Linked DNA regions of Arabidopsis thaliana. The protein of the gene in region 1 interacts with the protein of each later gene in a pairwise test. Each region holds a gene or a part of one and is shown in the gene's direction. Other genes may lie near its edges. The genes, in order: SLAH2, AT5G47570, AT3G13670 and AT3G17620.

Evidence for each region.
Region 2: the proteins of SLAH2 (region 1) and AT5G47570 interact in a protein complementation assay, tested with the Arabidopsis thaliana proteins (one large-scale study listed by BioGRID).
Region 3: the proteins of SLAH2 (region 1) and AT3G13670 interact in a protein complementation assay, tested with the Arabidopsis thaliana proteins (one large-scale study listed by BioGRID).
Region 4: the proteins of SLAH2 (region 1) and AT3G17620 interact in a protein complementation assay, tested with the Arabidopsis thaliana proteins (one large-scale study listed by BioGRID).

Annotation. Positions count from the first base shown.
Region 1 is NC_003075.7:13,917,192-13,922,899, reverse strand, and holds SLAH2 (SLAC1 homologue 2), read left to right. Parts: upstream 1-2,547; 5' UTR 2,548-2,595; exon of another isoform or gene 2,596-2,769; 5' UTR 2,770-2,777; coding exon 2,778-3,149; exon of another isoform or gene 3,150-3,235; coding exon 3,236-4,006; coding exon of another isoform or gene 4,007-4,045; exon of another isoform or gene 4,046-4,106; coding exon 4,107-4,138; intron 4,139-4,225; coding exon 4,226-4,610; 3' UTR 4,611-4,735; downstream 4,736-5,708. Other genes in the region: AT4G27980 (trichohyalin-like protein (DUF3444)), read right to left, coding at 1-1,245, 1,364-1,455; UBC9 (ubiquitin conjugating enzyme 9), read left to right, coding at 5,607-5,708. UniProt on the Arabidopsis thaliana protein: Slow, weak voltage-dependent S-type anion efflux channel involved in maintenance of anion homeostasis.
Region 2 is NC_003076.8:19,291,391-19,296,970, reverse strand, and holds AT5G47570 (NADH dehydrogenase ubiquinone 1 beta subcomplex subunit), read left to right. Parts: upstream 1-2,170; 5' UTR 2,171-2,304; coding exon 2,305-2,442; intron 2,443-2,517; coding exon 2,518-2,604; intron 2,605-2,690; coding exon 2,691-2,786; intron 2,787-4,045; coding exon 4,046-4,102; 3' UTR 4,103-4,384; downstream 4,385-5,580. Other genes in the region: ASG7 (uncharacterized protein), read left to right, coding at 1-2,023. UniProt on the Arabidopsis thaliana protein: Accessory subunit of the mitochondrial membrane respiratory chain NADH dehydrogenase (Complex I), that is believed not to be involved in catalysis. Complex I functions in the transfer of electrons from NADH to the respiratory chain.
Region 3 is NC_003074.8:4,467,053-4,474,973, forward strand, and holds AT3G13670 (Protein kinase family protein), read left to right. Parts: upstream 1-2,100; 5' UTR 2,101-2,381; coding exon 2,382-2,765; intron 2,766-2,870; coding exon 2,871-2,999; intron 3,000-3,108; coding exon 3,109-3,182; intron 3,183-3,299; coding exon 3,300-3,369; intron 3,370-3,458; coding exon 3,459-3,514; intron 3,515-3,738; coding exon 3,739-3,810; intron 3,811-3,960; coding exon 3,961-4,055; intron 4,056-4,127; coding exon 4,128-4,194; intron 4,195-4,282; coding exon 4,283-4,412; intron 4,413-4,499; coding exon 4,500-4,718; intron 4,719-4,814; coding exon 4,815-4,957; intron 4,958-5,112; coding exon 5,113-5,287; intron 5,288-5,374; coding exon 5,375-5,465; intron 5,466-5,509; exon of another isoform or gene 5,510-5,574; coding exon 5,575-5,732; exon of another isoform or gene 5,733-5,835; coding exon 5,836-6,024; exon of another isoform or gene 6,025-6,122; coding exon 6,123-6,182; 3' UTR 6,183-6,488; downstream 6,489-7,921. Other genes in the region: AT3G13662 (Disease resistance-responsive (dirigent-like protein) family protein), read left to right, coding at 38-553, 1,413-1,418; AT3G13672 (TRAF-like superfamily protein), read right to left, coding at 6,489-7,121, 7,193-7,291.
Region 4 is NC_003074.8:6,025,494-6,030,342, reverse strand, and holds AT3G17620 (F-box and associated interaction domains-containing protein), read left to right. Parts: upstream 1-2,648; coding exon 2,649-3,845; 3' UTR 3,846-3,897; downstream 3,898-4,849. Other genes in the region: CHX19 (cation/H+ exchanger 19), read right to left, coding at 1-854, 945-1,142; AT3G17626 (structural constituent of ribosome), read right to left, coding at 1,849-1,968, 2,123-2,164; RBL14 (RHOMBOID-like protein 14), read right to left, coding at 4,170-4,849.

The DNA of each region.
Region 1 (5,708 bases):
TGATCCATCTCATGAGCAAACATCAAGTGGCTCTTGATCTCTGTATCTCCATATTCAAATCTCCCACAACCACTGAGAATAGACTGCTCATCTTTTGTAGTTTTGACATGTTCAAGTAGTGTCACCTGCAAACTCAACTGGGACTCAAAAATCTCCCTGATCTGGGCATAGTTCCTAGGCATATCATCTCTAGGATCATATAAAGCCCATACTTGATCAACAGCAAATGAGCTCATTGACTTGCTAAAATCATTAAGCTTTGTATCAGGACAAGTTAATGAGTTAGGATCCTCATAACTTTTATCTGTGCAGACAATTCCTTCAATGTCTCCATCATTTGCTTCCTGAGACTTCTGTTTCTTGGCTTGAGGAGTACAAGAATCAGCGTCACTATCATTCTTTACCAACAAAGGAGGTTCAATTTCAAGGTTGGATCTCTTCCGAGACTCTGCTTCTACAAGTTGTGGTCTTGATGTTTCTTCTAATTCCATCTGCTTCAATTCAAGCTCTTTCAATCTTTTTTCCAATGTCTTCTCCTTAATCTCAAGACCTTTTCTCATCAGTTCAGTCTCCTCTCTCAATTTTTCAGCTTCTTCTTTCATCTTCAGCTCCAAAGTCTCCTCCTTTCTCTTCAATTCAGCAGTCTTCTCTTTGACAGCTTCCTCAAGTGCCCTGAGATCCTTCTCTCTTGCCTCACTTTCCTCATTCCGTCTCTCAGTCTCAGCTCTTTGTTTCAGATGAAACTCCTTCTCTGCCTTCTCTAACTCACACAACTTCTCAGAAACTCGGCAAGCCTCCTCTTTCCTCCCATCAAACTCACTCACCAGCTCCTCAAGTTTCTTCGTCGTCGAACGGAGAAACAAACCAAGCTTATTCTCCTCTGTTTTAAGTTGTGTCACTAAATCTTCACTCTGCTTCTCAAGCACCAATCTCATGATACTTGCTTCAATGACCAATCTCAAATCAGTTTCAATCTCTTTCTCCTCTAAAACACTTAACCTTCGAGATATTGACTCTTCAAGCAAACCAATCTCCTTCTCCTTCATTTCAACCACTCTCAGTCGTTCTTCCTTCTTCTCCAGCGAGGCGACCACGTCATCAAACTGAAGCGAAAACTCAAAAATTGATGAAGATTTTGCCTGAATCTTGTCTAGGATTTTGAGATACCCTTCACTGTTTTGCTCAGTAACGTCTGATTCTACTGAATCCCCTTGCATTGCCATATTCTCAGAGACATAAACCCTACTTTTTAGTTAACAAAAGATGGGTCATAAAGGAAGAAACTTTTCATGAAAAAATACAAAAATGAGAATGTACAGAAAGAATAAATAATAGAAACAAAAAGTAGGAAGAGAAAATAAACCTCTCTTGAGTTTGGTCTTCGGTTGACACCAACGGTGGTTTCTGAGCCGGCGTGTCTTCTCCGGGAACTAGTAAAACTTTCGGTTTCAACATTTTTTTCGCTGTACGAACGGAGCCTTTGAGCTTATCCAGGAATTTGAAGAAAAGTTTTAAACTTTCTTGGTAAGACTCAGAAATTTTGGTAAAGAAGAATGGCTTCTTCCCATCTCTCTTATGAAACAAGAAAAAATAGAATGCTTTATTTACTGAAAATGGAGGGAGAAAGAGAAACTAGTGCTATTTTGTCTTATTACCTTATAAATACAGCTTTCCTTTTTGGCCGTTCGATTGTATTATTTTAAGCCGTTGGATTATTGTACATCAGACGTCAGCTTTCTATTAACTCTCGGACAATGGGGTTTTGTTGTAGCCCGTTGGGCGTTGGATAAAGATCATGAGATTTGTGAAAGTGAAAGGATCAGCTAAATGGGCTTCGTAGGATGATTTTTGTTAGCCCATCAAAAGGTTTATGAAAGAAAAAAAAGGAATCAATCAGCCCAATATTACAAATTACAGAACCTCATTTTCTTAAATTACTATCACTATAATTCTAAACTTTCAAGATGGCAAAACAGTAGTAGGAAAAACATTCTATAATCGATTTTATTGACGAGTGTACGGAACGGATACTAAAAATCCGCAGACGCGACTAAACGAGAGTGCAAAGCCGCCTCTTTTATTGACTCCTTGACTTTCGAGTCCACTAGGACATTCCGAGGAACATTATCTCTACTCTATATATGTCTTTTTTACTTGTTTGCATATTTTATCCGAACGTTTTTGTACGATTCAATTTCAATGTATTCTTACGGTCGTTGTCCTTGTATTTATGGATTAACAGTGCCTTTAACAATAGCCTGGGACTACCTTCAGATTGGAGTCCATCACTTGATCATATCGGTTAAGATGTAACTGGACAAATATAACTCGAGAGACAAGAAGTAATGGTCAAAACAAAACTGCTCAAATAAAAACAAAAAAGTGAAAGACAAGATACTTTATCTGGACAGCACTAAAGCCAAAACACACAATATCTTTGGTTCTGGCCCACATATTTACCAAAATACCATTTTCAGAGGACTTATTTGACTTCACATACACAAAAGAGTCACACCGACTGATCAGATCCTCTGTTCTTTTCAAACACTGATCAGATCTACATTTTCTTTTTCCATCACTTTCTCTTCATTTTCTGTAAGTTTATATATACATTTATGTATGTGTGTGTGGTTTGCATGTTCGTTTTCGTAATATGTTAACAATAATATACAACTAACCCATTTGCAAAAGTTGGATGTGACGTTTTGATTCGGTTTTTATATATTTGGATCTTTATAAATATAGTTCCAAATTTATGTACTAAAACAGGGAAAACAATGAATAATCCAAGATCGGTTAGTCCTTTGGTTTCTCCAGCAAACCACTCAGATCTATTAGAAAACCAACGTCAATCCGGTTCTGGAGATTTCTCAAGATTAGAGAAACGAATCGGAGCGAGGAAGATGAAGTTTCATTCCAAGTCTATGCCCCGAGGTGCCATGTTTCTTGATCAAGAAGCATCTAGAAACTTCCACGACAAGAGGTATGACCTATTCAGGACCATGTCCGGGAAACTCGAACGTCAGATATCGAATTTACGTGGGAAACCCACTGAGAGTTCGTTGCAGGATCATAAAGAGATTACTGAATCTTTAACCGCTGATAGATACTTTGATGCTCTTCAAGGCCCCGAGCTTGAAACTCTCAAGGTATTTTATCATTCATTTTTGCTCATATGGTTGAGTTATACTTGTGTTTGGTTACTTCTATTTATGGGTTTATTGGTGGATGACAGGAGAAGGAGAAGATAGTTCTGCCTGAGGACAAAACGTGGCCGTTTCTTCTACGGTTTCCAATCACATCATATGGGATGTGTCTTGGAGTAAGTAGTCAAGCCATCATGTGGAAGACCTTAGCAACCACAGAGGCAGAGAAGTTCTTGCACGTGACTCAAGTGATCAACCACGTGCTCTGGTGGATCTCTCTCCTTCTCCTCCTCGCCGTTTCTATCACTTACCTCTTCAAAACCATCCTCTTCTTTGAGGCGGTTCGCCGTGAGTTTCGGCATCCGATCCGAGTCAACTTCTTCTTCGCTCCTCTTATATCAATCCTCTTCTTGGCACTTGGAATCCCACACTCTATCATCTCACATCTTCCCTCTACACTTTGGTACTTCCTTATGGCTCCCATCTTGTTTCTTGAGATGAAGATTTACGGACAGTGGATGTCTGGTGGACAAAGACGCCTCTCCAAAGTCGCCAACCCTACAAACCACCTTTCCATTGTCGGTAACTTTGCAGGAGCACTTCTAGGAGCATCCATGGGGTTGAAAGAAGGACCAATATTCTTCTTTGCCATAGGGTTGGCTTATTATTTGGTTTTATTTGTGACTCTCTATCAGAGACTTCCCACGAATGAAACCTTACCTAAAGAGCTTCACCCTGTTTTCTTCCTCTTTGTGGCTGCACCAGCCGTCGCTTCCATGGCCTGGACCAAGATCTCTGCCTCTTTCGATCTCGGTTCGCGTCTAGCATACTTCATCTCCTTGTTCTTGTACTTCTCTCTGGTAGTTTTTGTTTTCATTAACAGAGTTCTAGTGAGCTAGTGCTGAGTTTCTTGTGGTACAAGAAATGTAACAGCTTTACTTCTTGTGATTCTTGTTTCAGGTTTGTCGGATTAACCTTTTCCGGGGATTCAAGTAAGCTGTTTCTTGAACTGCAAGGATCTAATTTACCAAACCAAATAACATACATGTTATCTGACATAATTATTCAAAAAATATCAGATTCTCGCTAGCTTGGTGGGCTTACACGTTTCCAATGACGGCAGTGGCCAGTGCGACGATCAAATATTCAGACGAAGTCACGGGAGTGGCAACGAAGATACTATCGGTTGTGATGTCGGGAGCAGCAACTCTGACGGTGATAGCTGTGCTTGGGTTGACGGTGATGCATGCTTTTGTCCAACGTGATCTCTTCCCCAATGACGTTGTCATTGCCATAAGTGCAGAACAACCGAAGCAGAAGAGATGGTTCAAACATCTCACAAAAGAAAGTTATGGAAATAATGAGAGATGTCCCAAGATTTTGGATCCGGAAGATAATCAAATAGATTTAGAATCTCCTCCTTTAGTAAATGTAGATAGTTCCACGGTTCAGAATTCAAATTAACAAAAAAAAAAAATGTGATGAAAATTCATGATCTTTGTTAATTAACTTCTCATGTACAACACTATAGCAGTGCTAATAATAATAAATTAGCGAAAATCTTAATTATTTTGGTAAATTTTAGTTGCATACCATTCTTTTTACTGATCATGATAAATTACTTCTTCATTTCAGCAAAAATATAAAAACTATAATCACTTTGGCTTATTCTTTCGTTAGATTTAGTTATTATAGTATTGTTTGATTCAATTCAAGTAAAAACTATTTGAGTTATAGGCAAACTTAGTCACACCAACCGCAACCTTCACAATTTGTCTTAACAAGTTAGATCATATTTCGTGGAAATAATGTCTAGCTTAACATCTAATTTGTCGAATATATCTTAATGTCACTGTTATGTTAATTCATCCTCCATCTTTATACTTTGTCACCAAAACGAATCGTCTTGTCACATATGACATATGACAGTAAAAACAATGTAATAATTTCCTACACATCACGTTTTTGAAAAAAAACATCCTTCATCAACCGCTGGTCAATCTTGAAAGCATGGTAAATTCATTCAAATTACGTCAAATGATTCGTTCTACAAAACTCTCAGCCGTCGGATCATACGACTTTTGACTAAACCACTTAAACGACGACGCTTCGACGGGATTGGAAAACATCGGCGCCACATGATGATGATACGAACAACCGCGTTATTTTATATGTGCCGTAGGTACAACGCTGAGTTAGGCCCACCCAAAAAAAAGTTTGACATTATTTAAAACGAACGAATCTGAAAGAATAAAGCAGCAGAGTCCACTAATCAAACGAACCAGAATTTACCCGCACCCTATTTATTGTGGTCGCGACCACACAACATTTTCAACTTCTTCTTCTCTTCCGTTTCACCACCCTTTCTTCTCCTAAATTCGAAGAACCAAAACCAAAAACGTGAATTCGGAGTTATGATTTTGGATCTTCTTCCCGTCTTTATATATAATTTTCTGGGTTATGTTTTTCTTCTTCTTAATTCATCTGACCATTGGATTGGTTTTCGATTGCAGAGTCTTCAATTGGAATTTGGATCGTGGGATTTTGGAAATGGCATCGAAA
Region 2 (5,580 bases), on another chromosome or scaffold:
CTCTGTGGATCTCAACACTTCCATGCCGAGTCGTCAGGATCAGTTAGCTAAACTCAGCAGCACCGTCTTTGTATGTACTGTGATGGGTAATTCGATGCCTTCTCTGGGTATTATGGACAACAATGATCTCCTCATGAATCTTATGGCTTTAGGGATTCTTGTCATCACTGATGTTGTTAACATCTGTATTCAGTTGGGTACTGGTGCGATTTATGTTTTCTCTGAGGAACATTTTCTGGTCGTACTTCTCATGCTTCTTATGCTTATGATCTTGTGTTTCTCGGCCACCACAGTTCCCACTACGAAAAGAATCTTGGAGAGTAAGTACAATAAGAGGTACGACGTTGCTATGAAGTGTCCTTTGGCTACAGAGAGAACAGTTGCTAAGAAAATTCAGCAAGATTTGTCAAAGTTTTGGATGATGGCTCATACTAGTAGCCCTCAATTCGTGATGGCTCGTTCTGTCACGTGCACTGCTTCTGGTTTCTTCTGTCTCCTGAGTGCCATTACGCTTGGTGAAGCTATGGTTAGGAGTTACTTTTTAAGACCAAGGTCACTTGGGTTCTGCCATGGAGATTCTGATTACAAATGGTCAACTTCTCTGGTTCTTGTTTGCCAGACTACTACTGTAGCTATAGGGACCATTGCTCCTGCGATCAGATGGTTCACGGCTGTGAACTTCAGGTGTCCGATTAGAGGAAAGAAGTATTATAGAGATGAGTTTAGAATAGAGAGTTACTGGACACATTGGTTCTCAGAGAAGAAGCAACATCCCTTAAGCCTTTGGATCCTCAAAGAACGCAGATACAGGAAGACTGCACACAATGCAAAACGCTGGATATTGGATGTATGTATTGTGATACAGTATGTGATTGTGTTTGGTAGCAAAATTATCCGTTACATCTCGGTATCCTGTGTGGGTAAGATCTTGTTGTGCTGTCATTTCGCCTTAAGGACCAGTAATACTATCACACACAGTGAGTCAGAAAAATCCGATTCAAATCCAAGCTCGAGACAGGACCTAGCGAGTTTTGTCCTGCACCTTGAAGGAGAGGACCCGCTGGTGGATGTGATGGTGCGGAGCAACCGGGAAGCGACAGATCATTGGATAGAGAAGGGCAGAAAGAAACAACCAGTGAATCTGATAGAGCTTTTGGAAGCAACAACACCCATTTCAAAAGGATTTGAAGGGATTGCAGAGTTCGACAGCAACAAGGTGGCTTCTCTGGCCCACGGAGAACCGCCCAATTGTTGGGCTCTCCCGCTTGTAACACTCACAAGTATTGCTGTTGCACTTCCCGACATCAAGCCCTCCTCCCTGAAGAAGTTACTCAATGCTGTCAACGAGGCACTGGAATATGTCAACAAGTTTGAATGCGTCCTGGATACCGGAGGAGAGTCAGTTAACCTCAGGAAAGCTGCTGAGGTCGTTTGGCTAGGTGTTGATCTCTATCACAAGTGGTTTGATGTGGATCTTCGGAAACTATCAAAGCAACAAAGAAATCCAGAAGAAACCCTTCGGGAGCTGATGGAAATCGCGAAGAAAGAGTTCTCAGAGTCATGGCAGATGAACCTGATGGTATGCATGAAGCACAAGCCCTCTCACTGGCCCATCAAGACTCTAGCAGCCAACTCCATGTACCGAATCTGTCAAACAATTCTACTAACTTACGAATCAAGAGACTATGGAACAGGGGAAGCTCTGTTGAGAAAGCTGGAAAGCACAATATCAGACATAGTGTCAGGTTGCTTTTGCAACGTAGCACAAGTGATATCCGTCAAGTGTTTGGTGTCAGCTGTAGAAGTAAGGGAAGAATCAGTAAGAGGAGCAGCTCTGCATCTGGGAAGAACAGAGAAGATTCTAGAGATCTTAGAGAGAAGAAGGTTACCTAAATTGAGATGTGATCAGATGAAGAACATCGACGAATGGAGAGCATTCTACAAGATTAACTCTTGCGAATGTGATAATAACAACAAGACAGTTTATCCCGACTCGGACGAACTGCGCCTCACTGTTGAGTAGTTTATAGATATGTTAAAGGTTGTAGCTTTTTCTGTTTTTGTACCTTTGTGTATTCACCACATGAATCTCTTTGTATATAGTAAGAATCTGAAGCTTTTTGACACACTTGAAGTGTATGTGTTTGCTCATTTCGTTGGTTTTAAAATTCGTTAATCGAAATTACAATATTGACCTCTTTTAAAACGATGGCGTTTCAGGGAATCGTTTCAGTGACTGCGTCTTTCTTCTCTCTCTATCTGTAATTTGATTGGATTTTGGATCGAAACCTGAAAAGAGCGAAAATGGCTGGAAGATTGAGCGGTGTTGCGTCACGAATCATGGGTGGAAACGGCGTCGTTGCCCGATCCGTCGGTTCTTCTCTCCGTCAACGCGCCGGAATGGGTCTCCCCGTCGGCAAACACATCGTCCCCGATAAGCCGGTGAGTCAAATTTCTGTTGTAAATTTCTTGTTAGATTCTTCTGAAAATCTGATGTTTACAAATTGTGCGGGTCAGCTATCGGTAAACGACGAGCTGATGTGGGACAACGGGACTGCGTTTCCAGAGCCTTGCATAGATCGGATTGCTGATACCGTCGGAAAGGTTTGGTTACACGATTTCTAATTGCTGGTGATTCTCGGTGTAAAAAGAGATTGCTTTTCTGATTGATTTTGGATTAATGTGAACAGTATGAAGCATTGGCATGGTTGAGTGGCGGATTAGGGTTCTTTGTTGGTCTCGGTCTGCTCGCTGTTTTGAACGACAAAGCTTCTAAGGTTCCATTTGTAAGTTCAAAGCTTTCAACTTTCGAAATTATAATCAAGCCCATTTTGTTGTCCTGAGTGTGATGATCGAAGTCATGATTATGCTAAGATCTATCATCCCTATGCAGCTGTTATTATGTATGTTGTTCAACTCTGAATTTGATACATATGTTTGGCATTGGCTTATTTCTGAGAATAGGTTTTTGCTGGAATCTTCAGAAACTCATTAACTAAATGTGGACAGAAAACATAGGAATCTACAAAATATGCTCGCGTAACAGAGAATGTGTCAATGTTCTTTTCTTTATTTGCTGAATTGCCGCAATATTTAGCTTTCAGTTCTGCATTTTGTCTGTTTATGAACATGAACAATTCTTGCTGTTTGCTTTTGCATCTGACCAAAGTTACTGGACTAGATGAATCTTATGTCCGCATTGCTTCCATAATCCTGTCTTAATTAATTTGAGCATGTACGTTGTAGTTAGGAACACTTGAAAGAAACACCCACAGTGTTCTTGGGAACTCGGTAAATGCTTAAGCGTATGCTAGAGGTGTATGTACCAGCAGCTATAATCTATGTTTTAGTTTTCTTAGTGTCCACTGGCCAAGAATGAAAAACTCTGTATCAAAGGTTAATAGGTTATACTGTGATGAGTCTTGTTTTGAAGGATTCCGAGTAAAAGACTTAGGCCTAAAAAAGGTGCTCTGGCTTTTTGTCTAGACATTGGTGCTGTTCATTTACTCTAGAAGTTGTTCTGTGGCATCTCTTAGAGGTGTAAGAAAGACATGAAGGCTCTTTGAGGTGCATGAGCAGCTAAAATCGATGAGTTGGTTCTCTTAGTGTCGACTGGCCAAGAATCATAAACTTTGTACAAAGGCTATACTATAATGAGTTTTCTTTAAAGGACTTCGAGTTATAGAAGTTGAACACCACACCGGGGCTAAGAAGTTGATCTATGTCTTCTTGTCTATACATGAGTTGAATTGCTGTTCTTCTTTTTACTCCAAATGTTACTTCTCTTAGTGTCCGTTGGCCAAGAATCATAGACTTTGTATCAAAGGCTATTATGATGTGTCTTGTTTTGAAGAACTTAGGGTTATAGAGGTTGAACAGCACTCCAAGGCTGAGAAGTTGCTCTATATCTTCTTGTTTATACATGAGTTGAATTGCTGCTCTCTTTTACTTTAGAATTTGTTCTGTGGCATATCATCTCTCTGCTTTTGTGTCATTGTGGAACTTGTTTTCCATATCATGTTAATCTCTTACTGTGTTGTTGCAGACACCGAGAGTGTATCCATATGACAACCTGAGAGTTGAGCTTGGAGGAGAGCCATAGAGACCCATCTAAGTGATCTGCTCATCAAAACAGGAAGCGTGTTTTCTTCACTGCTTTGTTCTTTAAAATGTTTGTTGTTTCCTGCTTAGAACTTGAAGACAAAAGAATAAAAAGAAGACTTTGTTTTTATTATATGCGTTGTCTCTGTAATTAACAGTGACCAGTGAGAGAGATCCATAAGAGAAGACTTCTGGTTCAGGAAATCTTGAGTTGTGTTTTGTAACTTTTAGAAAACAATCGTCTCGCAATTCAGTTAGCGCCATGTGTCGAACCAAGTTTGAGCCTCGTACGACTTCAATCAAACAAAGGCTACAATAAAAAGAAAAAAGAAAAAAACAGAAAGACAAATTAAACCTAATGGGGCATGTGAGTGGGACATTGAGAGAAACTCGAACTTGTTCGTATCCGTCTTGGAATTGAAACTTTGGTTTTATATCCATTACGTATTCGGTATTTCTTTCCTCTTCTGTATATTATTCATATCTTATACGCATTTATTTAGTTCTCTTTGTTTTCTCTGATGATTATCTCTATCAAAATTCATCACGACAAGTAGTTTAGTAAGAAATTCGTATTTGTAAACATAGATCTTATTCTTACGGGTAAAAATTAATATGATAAAAGATTGGTGTGACTTGTCTAAAATTTTTATACTAAGAAGAATACTTTAAGAAGCTCTAATTTGAAATTTGATAAGTGACTGTGGGATGATGAATTGGATTTGACTTGTACAAATACACGTCTAATGTAGACTTGTCACAATAAGGGGCAAGTTTAGAGACTACATAGTCTACAATGCAGATGATTAAAACTATAGTTGATAATCATAGAATCTTAAATAAAAATCATAGAATCTATGGACTGAAACTTTCCAAGTGATGGAATCAAAGACAGCCACATGAGTCAAGGATTTCTTTCAATCTTTTCAAATATTCCATAAGAGTAAATAATAATAGTTTCATGATCAAAATCATCAATGTGATCTGCCTATGTGTCATTTGTACCGGCTCTTGTTCAACCTGACTGTTTTGGACCCCTTCAAAACAAGATTGTGATTGGTACCACACCTCTATTTTTCTCTCTTATTATGTTATATCCAGTTATATTTGAGGGAATAGTTCTTATAAGTCTTCCTTCTCTTTGTTGGCAAACTGGATATAGCAAATCTCATCGTACGTATATCTTTACATGCATGTGTGTATGTGTGCTTATCTTCTTTAGACCAAGTGCATCTATATCTCTTAGAGAGATTTGACAGACAAGTTAAAAAATCCAAATACATGTCGATTCTTGAACATTTCTAAGAAAATTTGTATCTATATGATTATTACAACAATATGATTATTATTATTAAATTTGGAGGAAAAAGGACAAAAAAAAAAGAGAGGGGAGGGTAAGAACCAGGGAAGTTGGGCTCTGGAGGAGTACCAAAGGCTGCATATAATAACGTGTCTCACTCGCTCTCTTTACTCTTGCCA
Region 3 (7,921 bases), on another chromosome or scaffold:
AGCACAAACCTTCATCTAGAGACACAAAAACCACAACATGACTAACCTCATCCTTATCTTCGCCGCACAAATCCTCCTTTTCTATGCCGTTGCTTCCGTCGGAGATGAATTGGGAAGAACCATGAACGGGAAACACCTTGGCCCTTACAAAAAGGAGAAACTCACTCATCTCCGAGTCTATTGGCACAACTCTGTAAACGGTAGAAACCCTAGCTCCGTGATGATCCAACAGCCGGTCTTGAACTCTTCCTTATCCGGATCGATCACCATGATGGACGATCCACTAACATTCGATGTGCCAAGGAATGCGACTGTGGTGGGCCAAGCCCAAGGGATGTACGTAGCAGCGGCCCAAGGAGAGATAGGCTTCTTGATGGTGATGAACTTTGCTTTCACTACGGGGAAGTACAATGGGAGTACGATAACGATTCTTGGGCGGAACGTGGTGATGTCGAAGGTTAGGGAAATGCCGGTGGTCGGAGGTAGTGGAATCTTTCGATTTGCTAGAGGTTATGTCGAGGCTCGCACCAAGTCGTTTGATCTCAAGGCCGGTGTTGCCAATCTACATATACATTTTTGCAGCCATTTTAACAAATAAATCTTAGAGTTGAACTTATTTACAACCCAATGCCATTAGCATTAAATTTTTTTTTCAAAATAATTAATTTTACATTAAATTCTTAATTTAAATTGTCAATCACATTATCAATCAAATTTAATCCAAACAAACTGCACATCAATCCTTTAAAATTAGCATAAAAGTATTTTGTTAACAATATTTTAAAACAAAGTTTTTTGTTTAAATAAATATTGTTCTTACTAAACGTTTTTTGTTTAAATAAACAAATCATGTATTTGAACTTATTTACAATGTCATGCTACTGACATTAATTATTCAGGCATGAAAATATTTAATTAAAGATTTAAATCTTCTAAATTCTTGCTTTTAGAATTATTATATCATTACCTAAAAGGCAAAAAATATTAATTTTTTAATTATTATTATTTATATATTTAAAATTCATAAAACACTATTAATATTTAAATTTATAAAAAGTTTAATATATCAAAAAAATTAACATCATTATATAATATATAGAGTTTAAAAAATCTCAAAAAAAAAATCGTCATATTTTGTGATTCAAAATTTTAAGAATGAACATATATTAACTAATTGGCGAAAAATGTATGGATTCAACGTCCCGCAACGAATAAAATATTTTGACAATGATTCATAAATATATTATAAATAAGATCAACATTAATAAAATAAATAAATTTTTTTTGTGGACGGGTTTGGCGGGACGAGTTTGACAGGATGTTACTTAGTAACAATTGTAAACTATAAAATAATTTACAAATTTTTACATATATTAATTTTAAAAAATGAATTGTCTCCGCGGTGAATCTAGTGTTGAATATAATTGTTATATTCTGCATTACTGAAATAATTAAGTTTGGAATATTGTTCATTTGATTTCATTACTTATTTGTTTTTATGTCTCGTTTTGTTATGAGAGTGTTATTGTCTTTTCCCAAGTTAAATAATGTATTTTATCTTGTAATGGTTTGATTTTATTCATCTAAAAAATAAATAAATAAGTAGTTGTTTATATATACATTAAACATACATTTTTTGGTCAAATTAAGTGGCACAAAGGCTCTACTCCGCGTTAATTTGGAAAATCATCAACTGATTAGCGAATAAATTATTTGAAATTTTGATAGAAAATAAATGTTCAAATAAATATAATGATTAGTTAGCCCAATCACGAGCTAATCAAACCTTAAAAAAAAAACACCAAATCAAACCTATTTATTGTCTAAAACCAATTTTGATATTACACGGAGAAATTAAATAATACATTTAGCTACTTTTTTGTTTGAAATAGAAAAGACATTCAAAATAGTAAACATATAAAACCATTGTAAGAAAAGAAATCAAATTTTTTATTTCTTAACAAAAACGTGAAACGTTTGTTTCCAAATTAGTCGCAAGTCACGGACCGTGTGACGCAAAAAAAGTCCATTCACATCATTATTACATAATTTTTGTCATAAGGAAAATTAATTTGATTTTTCCAAATTTTTTTGGTTCTTCCTCTTCAGAATATCTGACGTGGCATAAATATCGCCTTTTTCACATCGCCTGTCTTCTTTTCTCTCTCCATTTTGGGAACTTTCATCCATAAACTTCTATTTTTCTCATCGCAAACTTGAACCGTCGTAACCCTAAATCGCCATCTTCATCATCGGCAAATCGAATCTCCGATTATATATCAAATAGCTTACCAAATCCGACATGACCCAGGCCCTCGTTTTCGGAGGACTATAATGATCGGACTCTTCGTGTCCCGTCTCGATTGCATGGGGTTTGAGCTATGCCGGAGCTTCGCCGTGGAGTCCGCCGTGGCCGTGTTACTGATGCTGTAGCTCCCAATCAGCTTCCGCAAACACCTACAGAAAAGAAACCGAAGAAGAGTACCGTTAAAGCTCCAAAACCGGTTGCCGGCGGAGTTACAGGAGTTGCAGAGAGGCCGAGGACTAGATTAGCGGCGAGGAAATTAAAGGAGGAAGATAAAGAGATACCTCAGGAGATTCCGGTTGTTGTGCCGTCTAAGGATAGCGATATCGATAAAAACAAGGGTAAAGAGGTAGTCGTTGAAGAAGAGAAGAAAGATATGGCTATTGGTAATGATAGTGGTGGCTCTAACAAGGCGGCTGCTCAGGAAGAAGAAGGAAATACTGCTCCTTTCCCTGAGAGGGTATAATTGATTTGCATAGTTTTTGTGTTGTTTGGGGTTATTGAACTTTTCATTGTAGGCTTGCTTATCATCTTTCTATGGTAATGACTAACGATTCCGTATCAGGTTCAAGTTGGAGGATCACCACTATATAAAGTTGAGAGAAAGCTGGGGAAGGGTGGTTTTGGACAAGTATTTGTCGGACGTCGTATTAGTGGCGGTAATGATCGTAGTGCAGGAGCTAGCATCTTGGAGGTAATATAACTCAGTCTGCGTTTACTGCTGTGGAGGATTGTCACCATAAATATCATTCTATTAGCTTAGTTATGCTTACAGTGTCTCACATCTTCACTTTCTTATATAGGTTGCTCTAAAGTTTGAGCATAGGAGCAGCAAGGGTTGCAACTATGGTCCTCCACATGAGTGGCAGGTTTACAAGTGGGTGTTTCGATTCTCCTGTCTTTCTTTCAATGTTTCTTAAATTCATTTACCTGGATTGTAGGTGCTTCCTTGACTTGAAATGTGAAATTGACATTTTACTTTTATTGTGAACAGCACCTTGGGTGGTAGCCATGGAGTCCCTAGAGTACATTTCAAAGGCAGGCAAGGAGACTATTATGTCATGGTACTGGATTCCCCCTTTCTCCTATTTCTGTTTTTTTCTCCTGTCTGTATCATTGAAGTTAGATCCTCTCTTCTTTGTTTTGGCCTCAGGTTATGGACATGCTTGGGCCTAGCTTATGGGATTTATGGAATACTTCAGGGCAAGCGTGAGTCTCCATTACACATCCTTGGGGAGCTCTTGTCTCTTTTTCAATTAGCGTTGTTTCCATACATGAGTATCCTAAGTTAATTTGGATTCTTTTGGAATTGTGACTTGAAATGTGGTGTTACTCCCTGTTTTTAAAAAAATACATAAGTCCATACTGAGTAACATTTTGCTTTTAAAAAATCGACTTCCCTAACAATTCTTCTCCCCCTTTTTGCTTTGCAGAATGTCCTCGGAAATGGTAGCTTGCATTGCGGTTGAATCACTTTCCATCCTTGAAAAGATGCATGCAAAAGGGTTTGTAATTGAACTTTATTTTTGTTTTTGTATTTAATTAGGTTGTCCGAGGTTTCTTCTGATATCCTGTTTGGAGTCTCGGCACCTCTAAGTTCTTATGTTTTCTCTCTATTAACTAGCCTAACAGGTCATGTTTTACTTCGGTTTCAGTTATGTGCATGGGGATGTTAAGCCAGAAAATTTCTTACTCGGCCAGCCTTCAACGTCTCAAGAGAAAAAACTGTTTCTTGTTGATTTGGGACTAGGTTGATTTCATTCTCTTTGTTATTCTTGCTAGGTTCTTCTTTACCTTTCTCATTTTTCAACCAACTTTTCAGCTACAAAGTGGAGAGAAGGTGGTAGCGGACAACATGTTGAATATGATCAACGTCCTGATATGTTTAGGTAATATATTTTCTACTGTTACCTAATATAATTTGTTTTATACTCGCTCTTACCTTTTGTTGAATCTCTCTCTTCTTAATTTTTATAGAGGGACAGTTAGATACGCAAGTGCACATGCTCATTTAGGGAGAACTGCTAGCAGAAGGGATGATCTGGAATCATTAGCATATACACTGATCTTTCTTCACCGAGGTAGATTGCCATGGCAAGGATATCAGGTACTGCAGACCTATCATTTTGTTTTGTAGAATCATGTTGTTGCATGATTCTTTCTCTGCTAATCCTGTCTCTTACTCAATTTTCAGGGAGATAACAAGTCATTCCTTGTTTGCAAAAAGAAGATGGCAACATCGCCGGATATGCTTTGTTGTTTTTGTCCCCCTCCTTTCAAACAATTTCTTGAGATCGTGGTAAATATGAAATTTGATGAAGAACCCAACTATGGAAAGTTAGTATCTCTGTTTCAAGACCTCTTGGGCGAAAATCCGGCAATTAGGCCTATAAACACAGAGGGTGCTCAAAAGGTGACATTTTCATGCTGTATATCTTTCCCTTTCGTTCCTATTTGGATATCTAGGAGTTGTTGTTTAACATCTTGTAATTGTTTTCTTTTGTGCTAGATCATATTCCAAGTTGGCCAGAAGCGAGGTAGGTTGAGCATTGGGGAGGAAGAAGAAGATGCCCCTAGGAAAAAGGTCCGTCTAGGAGTCCCTGCAACGCAATGGATATCGATTTACAATGCCAGGCAACCAATGAAGCAGAGGTAAAAAAATTCATGGTTAATTATTTATACAGTCAGTTAACTGCTGGGACTGCGTTTGTGTCTCATTTTTTCTCTTGGTTATATTATAATCTTGGATTTTTGGCCTTAATGTGTCTAAAACTATTTTTGGACTCACAATTTATGTGTTTAACCAGGTATCATTATAATGTGGCTGATATAAGACTGGCACAGCATATTGAGAGAGGTATTGCAGATGGTTTGTTGATAAGCTGTGTATCATCATGTTCGAATCTCTGGGCATTGATAATGGATGCTGGAACTGGCTTCACGCACCAAGTCTATGAACTCTCTCCTGTATTCTTGCACAAGGTTGTCTGATGTTTCTCTGTTAGTTATTTTTATATCTGTGTTCTGTCAAGATGATCTTACCTGAGAGTGAATTCTGTTTTGAATCAGGAATGGATTATGGAGCAGTGGGAGAAGAACTACTACATTAGTTCTATTGCTGGTGCAAGCAATGGAAGCTCCTTAGTTGTCATGTCAAAAGGTATCTACACTTTTCATGAATACTTTTGAACACTTTCGTCATTATGGTATTTTACTAGTCTCTGAATTTGTGGCTTATTCTATGTTTGGTTTTCAAATGAATTATGAAGGTACGCAGTATACACAGCAGTCTTACAAAGTAAGCGATTCATTCCCGTTCAAGTGGATAAACAAGAAATGGAGAGAAGGCTTCCATGTAACCTCAATGGCAACAGCTGGAAATCGATGGGGTGTTGTTATGTCCCGCAATTCTGGCTACAGTGAACAGGTTAGACTTCACCGATATAGATGAATTTCTTCCGTTTCCTTCAGTTTTGGATCTGTCGCGTTGATTTCTAATTCTCCTGTTTTCGCTTATATCTCCTCTACAGGTTGTGGAACTTGATTTTCTGTATCCAAGTGAAGGCATCCACAGGCGTTGGGATGGTGGATTCAGAATCACATCAACAGCAGCCACAACCGATCAAGCTGCTCTCATCCTAAGCATCCCACGTCGTAGACTTGTTGATGAGACACAAGAGACGTTACGTACCTCTCAATTCCCCAGCACACACGTCAAGGTGAGTAGAGCAGCTATAAAAGATTACTAATCAATATCTTGAACTCTTTTTCTCCCTTCCCATGAACAATACCGGAGATGCAATTTTCTGTTGTGCAGGAAAAATGGGGAAAGAATCTCTACCTTGCATCGTTAAGCTATGGCCGAACTGTATCTTGAGACTTATTAGTAAAAACTGTTGAAGGACGAGAGAAATATGTTTCTAAGTCTCGGCTCCTATTCCTTATCCAACCCTATGGCCTCTCAGGCTCTGTTGTGCTTCTTCTTTTTTTTCAGTTGAATTGTGAAGCAAAAATGTGGTGATTGTGTTGTTTATTCCCCCCTTGTGAAGGGGATTGAGCCATAATCACCAGTTTACCTACACATTTCCCTCGAAATTGCTATATTTAATTTTTAAATCAAGAAAAGATATTTTTGTCACCAAATATTCTATAGTTGTCCAATTCTGTAACCTAATTATCGAATTCATATCGAAACAGGCTGTTCTCTCCATACACGACCTGAAACCTTCAACTTCAGCTCCTTGTCGGTGGTGTTGTTGTCGGTAGAGAAGAACAAAGCCAATTTGCGAGTGATGATTAAGCCATCTTGACTATCACGAACCGTCTTGTGACTGTCACGAATGCTCCTCGGCACGCCTTGCCATGTCAGCTTTCTGCCATTCCCTCCGACCTGCAAACTATAGCTGAAGCTCATTGCCTCTTCTTCATCTCCCATAAACTGCATGAAGGCCATGTACATTGGTGTTTTCCTCAGGTGAAACGCTTCGAAGTACAAGCAGAATTTTCGACCACAACAATCGAGAAGCTGCATCGTTTCAAGTGGGTTAAAACTTAAAAATTCACAAAGTTGCAGAAACAGAGCAAGATAATCAGTTATATAACTTACTGTTAACATCCAAGTAGCATGATGAAGATGTTTAGGATCATGATGAACATATCTGTGACTGAAACTACGCCCATCACTCATTTCAACATTGTGATCATTCCTTAGATGCAGTAGTAGCCTTTGAATATCTCCTGTGACATCACACTTGGCTCCTGAGTGTGGACAATTGTACGGTTTCTTCTTAGGGTTTTCGATGTGGTCGTTGGGACACTGCAATAGGATCTGTATATTACTTGTTGTGTTCTTATTGTAGTAGTATCAATATGATATGATATACATACCTCGTAGATTGCAGAGGATATCTGGTTTGTATGAACCGGAAAATCGAGCAACTCATGAACCCGAGATTCCACCTGAAGGTCATTGATTCGAGGTTCCATTTCGCAGGAATTAATGAATTCACAAGCCAAGTGATGAAGTGAAAGAGGAGAAAGGTGTACGTTTGTACATATGTACATACAATCAACCACATAGATACGTTTACGTTGTGTCAAGTTTCAACGTCCAATAATTGGAGACAACGTGGAGTAAATGGTGGATATAGGAGTTGGTTCCGGAGATTACGTACGTCAAAGAGCTTAATTGTAGGAGAGAAAATAATACAAACAAAAAAACATATAGTAACATGACTTGGGATTGAAATTACAAATTAGTCAAGGTTCTTAGTTACACGACACTCTTGAGTTGGAGTTGTCATAGCAAGTATCCAATTGGGTCTTGCAAGTTGTAACCATCCAAATCAAGATGCCAAGTGGACAAATGTCTCTTAGCCAAATCAAATCATTGCTACTGATTGATCTTTTAGTCACTCATGGTCAAGCTAAAGAAATTGCATGAGAAAAAAATAAATTTCCAAAGATGAAAGATCTAGCCTGCAACATTACATTGATTACTCTGTTTCTGATTAACTCAAAACCGCAAGATAACAGAATCTAAACTACAGGACTTTCGGATGTGAATAAAAGCTAAAAAGAACGATACAATCCGAGCTTCGTTTATGTCTCTATCCT
Region 4 (4,849 bases), on another chromosome or scaffold:
AGAATGACAAGAACTAGAAGTCCCCATGACTGTGCTCCCCTGATCGTTGTTACATCAGTTTTGAGACCGCTAGCCGCAAAATACAGAGGTAGAAGAAGCCCCGAAACAAGATCCTCTATCTTCTCAGTCAAAATCCTGCAAAATGGTCCTTCTTTAGGAGCTACTATACCTACCACAAACGCCCCGAACAGCGCGTGTATCCCAATAGTGTCTGTCACAAAGCTTGCTGCTAAAACCACGGTTAGAGTGACACAAACATAGAGTTCCTTTACAGGCTCTCCCTCAGGACAGCGTCTAGCCATATAAGCAAGCAGAGGTTTGATTGCCACAACTGCAAAGATCACGAATCCAGTTCCACAGAGAAGAACCCAAACAGATACAAGAGGAGAAGTCCCATCTCCTGAGAGAGCAATAGCAAGCGCAAGGAGTATCCAAGCTGCAACATCGTTTACTCCCGCTGCAGACATTGCCATACGTCCAATGTCAGTTGTTAGAAGCTTTAGCTCAGCTAGTATACGAGCAAGCACAGGGAAGGCAGTGATTGATAAGGCAACACCCATGAAGACAATAAAAGGAAGCTGATCGACTCCTTTGCTTATGGTGGCACTGAGAACAAAAGATGTGCCTACACCCACTATAAAAGGAAGTGAGATCCCAGCTATGGCTATCAATAGTGATTTCTTTCCAGTTTTTTTTATTGCTGCAAAGTCAAGCTCAAGCCCAACTAGGAACAAGAAAAACAGAAGACCAATGTTGGCGAGTGTGTCTAAAACGGTCAAGCTCTTCTTTGGGAAGATGGTGTCAAGATAGGCCTTGCTTCTCCCTAGTGCAGAAGGTCCAAGCAGTATCCCTCCCTACAGAACCATCCCTTTTAGTCTCTTTTGCTATGTGATTTCATCAAAACAGAAAAAGAAAAATACAAAGAGATTGAGTAGGAAACTCACAATGATCTCAGCAATGACTCGGGGCTGTTTGAGAGGCTTAAGAAAGTAAGCTAAGAGCCTTGTAAACACAACCACCAAGACGATTTGTAGGATGATAAGAGGAAGCGCGAAATCAAGAGGGCTTTCGTTTTGGAAGGCTCCATTGGAGGTAGCCTTCATTGGACCCGGGCATTGCCCTGTAACGTTGGTGCTTGCCATCCTAGTGGAGATCTACTTACAGGTTGATGATTGGTCAAGAAACGAGATACTGCTTCACCCTTCAATACTGCCTTGGCTGCTCCCTCATTGCATTGCCAAACGAAGTATGAGACCTGAATGGGAGGAAAAAAAAGAAATCAAGATTTTATTCTGTTCTGTTACTGTTTTTATTAAACAGAATCTACATTAAAGAAGTGAGTATATAAAAGGAAAAAACAGAAAACTAATAACGTCTATAGTTTGCTAATAATAGGTAGATGAGATAGAAGCGGACATACCAACTCCAGGGTGGGCATATACCTCGCACTTTTCTATTTATAGACTATCAGTTACTTAACTTCCAACCATATCGCATCTATACTTCGCAGATATGAACTGCCTTCACTGCGCCGAAGTTTTCGTCTCTGTCTTTGTCCTTCTGTCCTAAATTTGCAAGCACTTGTACCTGTCTCTTAACTAAGCAGCACATTTGATGTCTTACCTTCTGAAGCTTTGTAAACATCAACCATTTTCAAATATATTATCATCGTATAGACGATATAAACATTCTTGAGATGCATAAGTAGTAAGAACAAATGAACACATTAAAAAGGAAGAAGTTAACACTGTTCCAAGCCGACTAATCTAAATTTCAATCATGGGTTCTATACAAGCAAATTTCTGAGAAGGACAAAACAAAAAAAGACTTAAAATTGGAGACCGTGTTCTATTTGCTGAAGCAGCTAAAGCCATGGTAAGTGTAAATTGCACGGTCAAAGGCCACCTTTGTGATCCCATTCTCTACGCAGGATTTTTCTATAACTTCTCCAACTTTCTTAGCCATTTCCTAATCAATTCCAAGAAGAATCAAAGTTAGACAGTGTCCAAGAGAAAAACAATTGAAGCTAAGGGTCTCATGCTAAAACTTGAAAGGTTTCGGCTAGAGAATTTTGTAGATAGATTGTAGTTGAATTCAAAGCAGGTGGTAGTGAAGAACTCACAATGGTAGAACCAGTGAGCAAAAGATACAGAGCCTTGGCCATGGTCTGAGAATTGAAGGAGCTTTAAGCCACCGTACTGAATTGGAATCGGCGTCGAGGCTGTTCTCAGCGAGCTCAGACGCTGGATTACATCACCCTCTATATTTTGTAGGTTTCGAATCTTCGGTGGCTCTCTCGGTTCAATCGCCGCAGTCGGAGAGGAGAGTCTTCCTCCTCCATCTCCACCGCAAGAAGCGACCGTCGATCATCTCCCCCGCCATATACAAATGAGAATCACTAAAAAGTTTTTAACTACAGTTGGGCTAAAAGCCCAATAATAAAGCCCATAAATGAAACGACATCACAGTCATATAAATAAGAGTTCAAAAAGATGAATAATTCCGGGAAATTTTTAGAGGGCAGAGTTGTGTTTCGGCCCAGCTTGAGTTAGGGTTCCTGTGGGGAAACATGAGAGCTTTTTACTGAAGTTTCAAACCTAACTAATTTGTGTTACATCGATCCTTGTTCAAATTTGAAAGATTTGAAGATGATGTCCGATCTTCCAAGAGATTTGTTGGAGGAGAGACTCTCTAGGGTTCCGGTGAAATCATTGAGAGAAGCGCGATTTACCTGCAAAAATTGGAAAACATTATCCAAAAAGCGGAGCTTTACAAAGAAGCACCTTGCTCAGGAAGCAACATCAAGGGAAAGTGAGTTTAAGGTTGTCATGGTCTTGCATTGTAAGGTTTATCTAACGAGCATCAACCTCCGTGGAATTCACAACGGCTTTGACCCGTCTATAAACCGTCAAGCTAAACTTGTTAGCCTAAACGGTACAGATCAGATCGATATATCTGAAGTATATCACTGCGACGGTTTACTGTTATGTATCTCGAAAGACTACACTAGGGTCGTGGTTTGGAATCCGTATAGGAGCCAAACTTTGTGGCTCAAACCCAGTAGTCCTGACCATAGAATGGACTGGTATATCTGTGCTATAGGATACGAGAAGCGTAAATCAAGCCTACGCTACAAAGTTTTGCGATTCGTTGATTTTGCCGAAGAAGAATTTGTTGAGTACGAAATATACGAGTTAAAGTCTAATTCATGGAGGGTTCTCGATGTCACTTCCGACTGGGAAGTAGAGTTTTATGCACGAGGTGTCTCTCTCAAGGGAAATACTTATTGGTTTGCTACAGACAAGTTTCCAGAAATCAGCAGTAATCTTATACATAGTGTTTATTTCTTGCTCTGTTTTAATTTTACATCGGAGAGATTTGGGCCGCGTCTTCATTTGCCGTGTTACCCTATGGATGTAGATACTGTGAGTCTTTCTAGTGTTAGAGAAGAGCAACTTGCTGTGTTATTTCAGCGTAAGGACAACTTACATATGGAGATTTGGGTTACGACTAAGATTGAACCTGAAGAGGTGATGTGGAGCAAGTTGTTCTTAGCAGTGGATATGCAACCACTCACTGATTTTAAGTTTGGAATTGCAGATGCGAGTTTCATCATTGACGAAGAGAAGAAAGTTGTTGTAGTCTTTGCTAAAGACAAAGATGTAATGTATCCCACTCACAACACAGCTTACATCATTGGAGAGGATGGATATTACAAAGAAGTGGATCTCGGAAAAACTACTGATAAAATTCGAGATCCACTTGTGTGCTCGTATGTTCCAAGCTCAGCGCAAATCAAGCAAGGAGGCAAAAGGAAGAAAAAAGGGAAATTGATTACTGATTAACATTTATATCTTGCTTTGTGATCTTCTTCTTTCAACAAAATTTGGTTTGAAATAGGATAAAATTTTGTTAAAATCGAAAGTCTGTGAAACTGTAAGTTTGGTGTGAAGATACTATATTATCTGAATCACTCGCTACTTTCAGCAATCTAATCAAAGGACCAGTTCACGTAGAACCAAATCTTCAACAACAAAAGAGAAGACAAATTGAAGAAACAGATCGAAAAACACGACCACTAACTCTGCTATTCATAAGCTAATGCAATGAATGATTCAACAAAGCTTCATTCACAATCCTTCCTCAGCTTTAAGAATGCGCTCCCGAGATCAACTAAACCTCTCTACTCTTCGACGGCGCAGCTCATCTAAAGGGAGATCATTAGAAGAAGAAAGTGCTGGTCCCTGATTCAGTGACCATCCATTTCCTCTAGCCCGTCCCGAGCCACACATCTCGCAAGCACTTAACCAACCAGAATTGTCATATGTACACGACTGACATCTCCAAATACCAGGTCCTGCTATCCCAGTCTGACCTCTTCCCACTCTTCCTCTCCCCGTAATCCTCCTTCTCCGAGACCTAACCATACCATTCAGAAACCTCAAGGGCCACGTCACCAATCGAGATACACCTCTAACCGCCATAGTGACTGGATCTGAGCCTGAGTAAGAACCTTTCAGCTTCAAATAGATAATACCAGCAAGGATTCCACCCAAATGCCCAAGAAACGAAGCGTTAGGTACAAACATCTGCACTAGAATCAATTCTGCCCAAGCAGCATACTTTGTTGGAACCAAGATACCATACACACTTGAGTAATCCTCAGCTTGAGAATTAAGAACAACTTTCATAGCAAAGAGAACACCCGAGAACCCAACCGCATACTCGTTGTAGTAAGCTCTGTCATAGTCAAACAAGAGAAGAAGCGATTTGGCTAACAACAATGTGACTCCTTGAGACATACCAATAAGAGTAAAGACCATTGAAGCAAACTCACTGCTTCCCATTG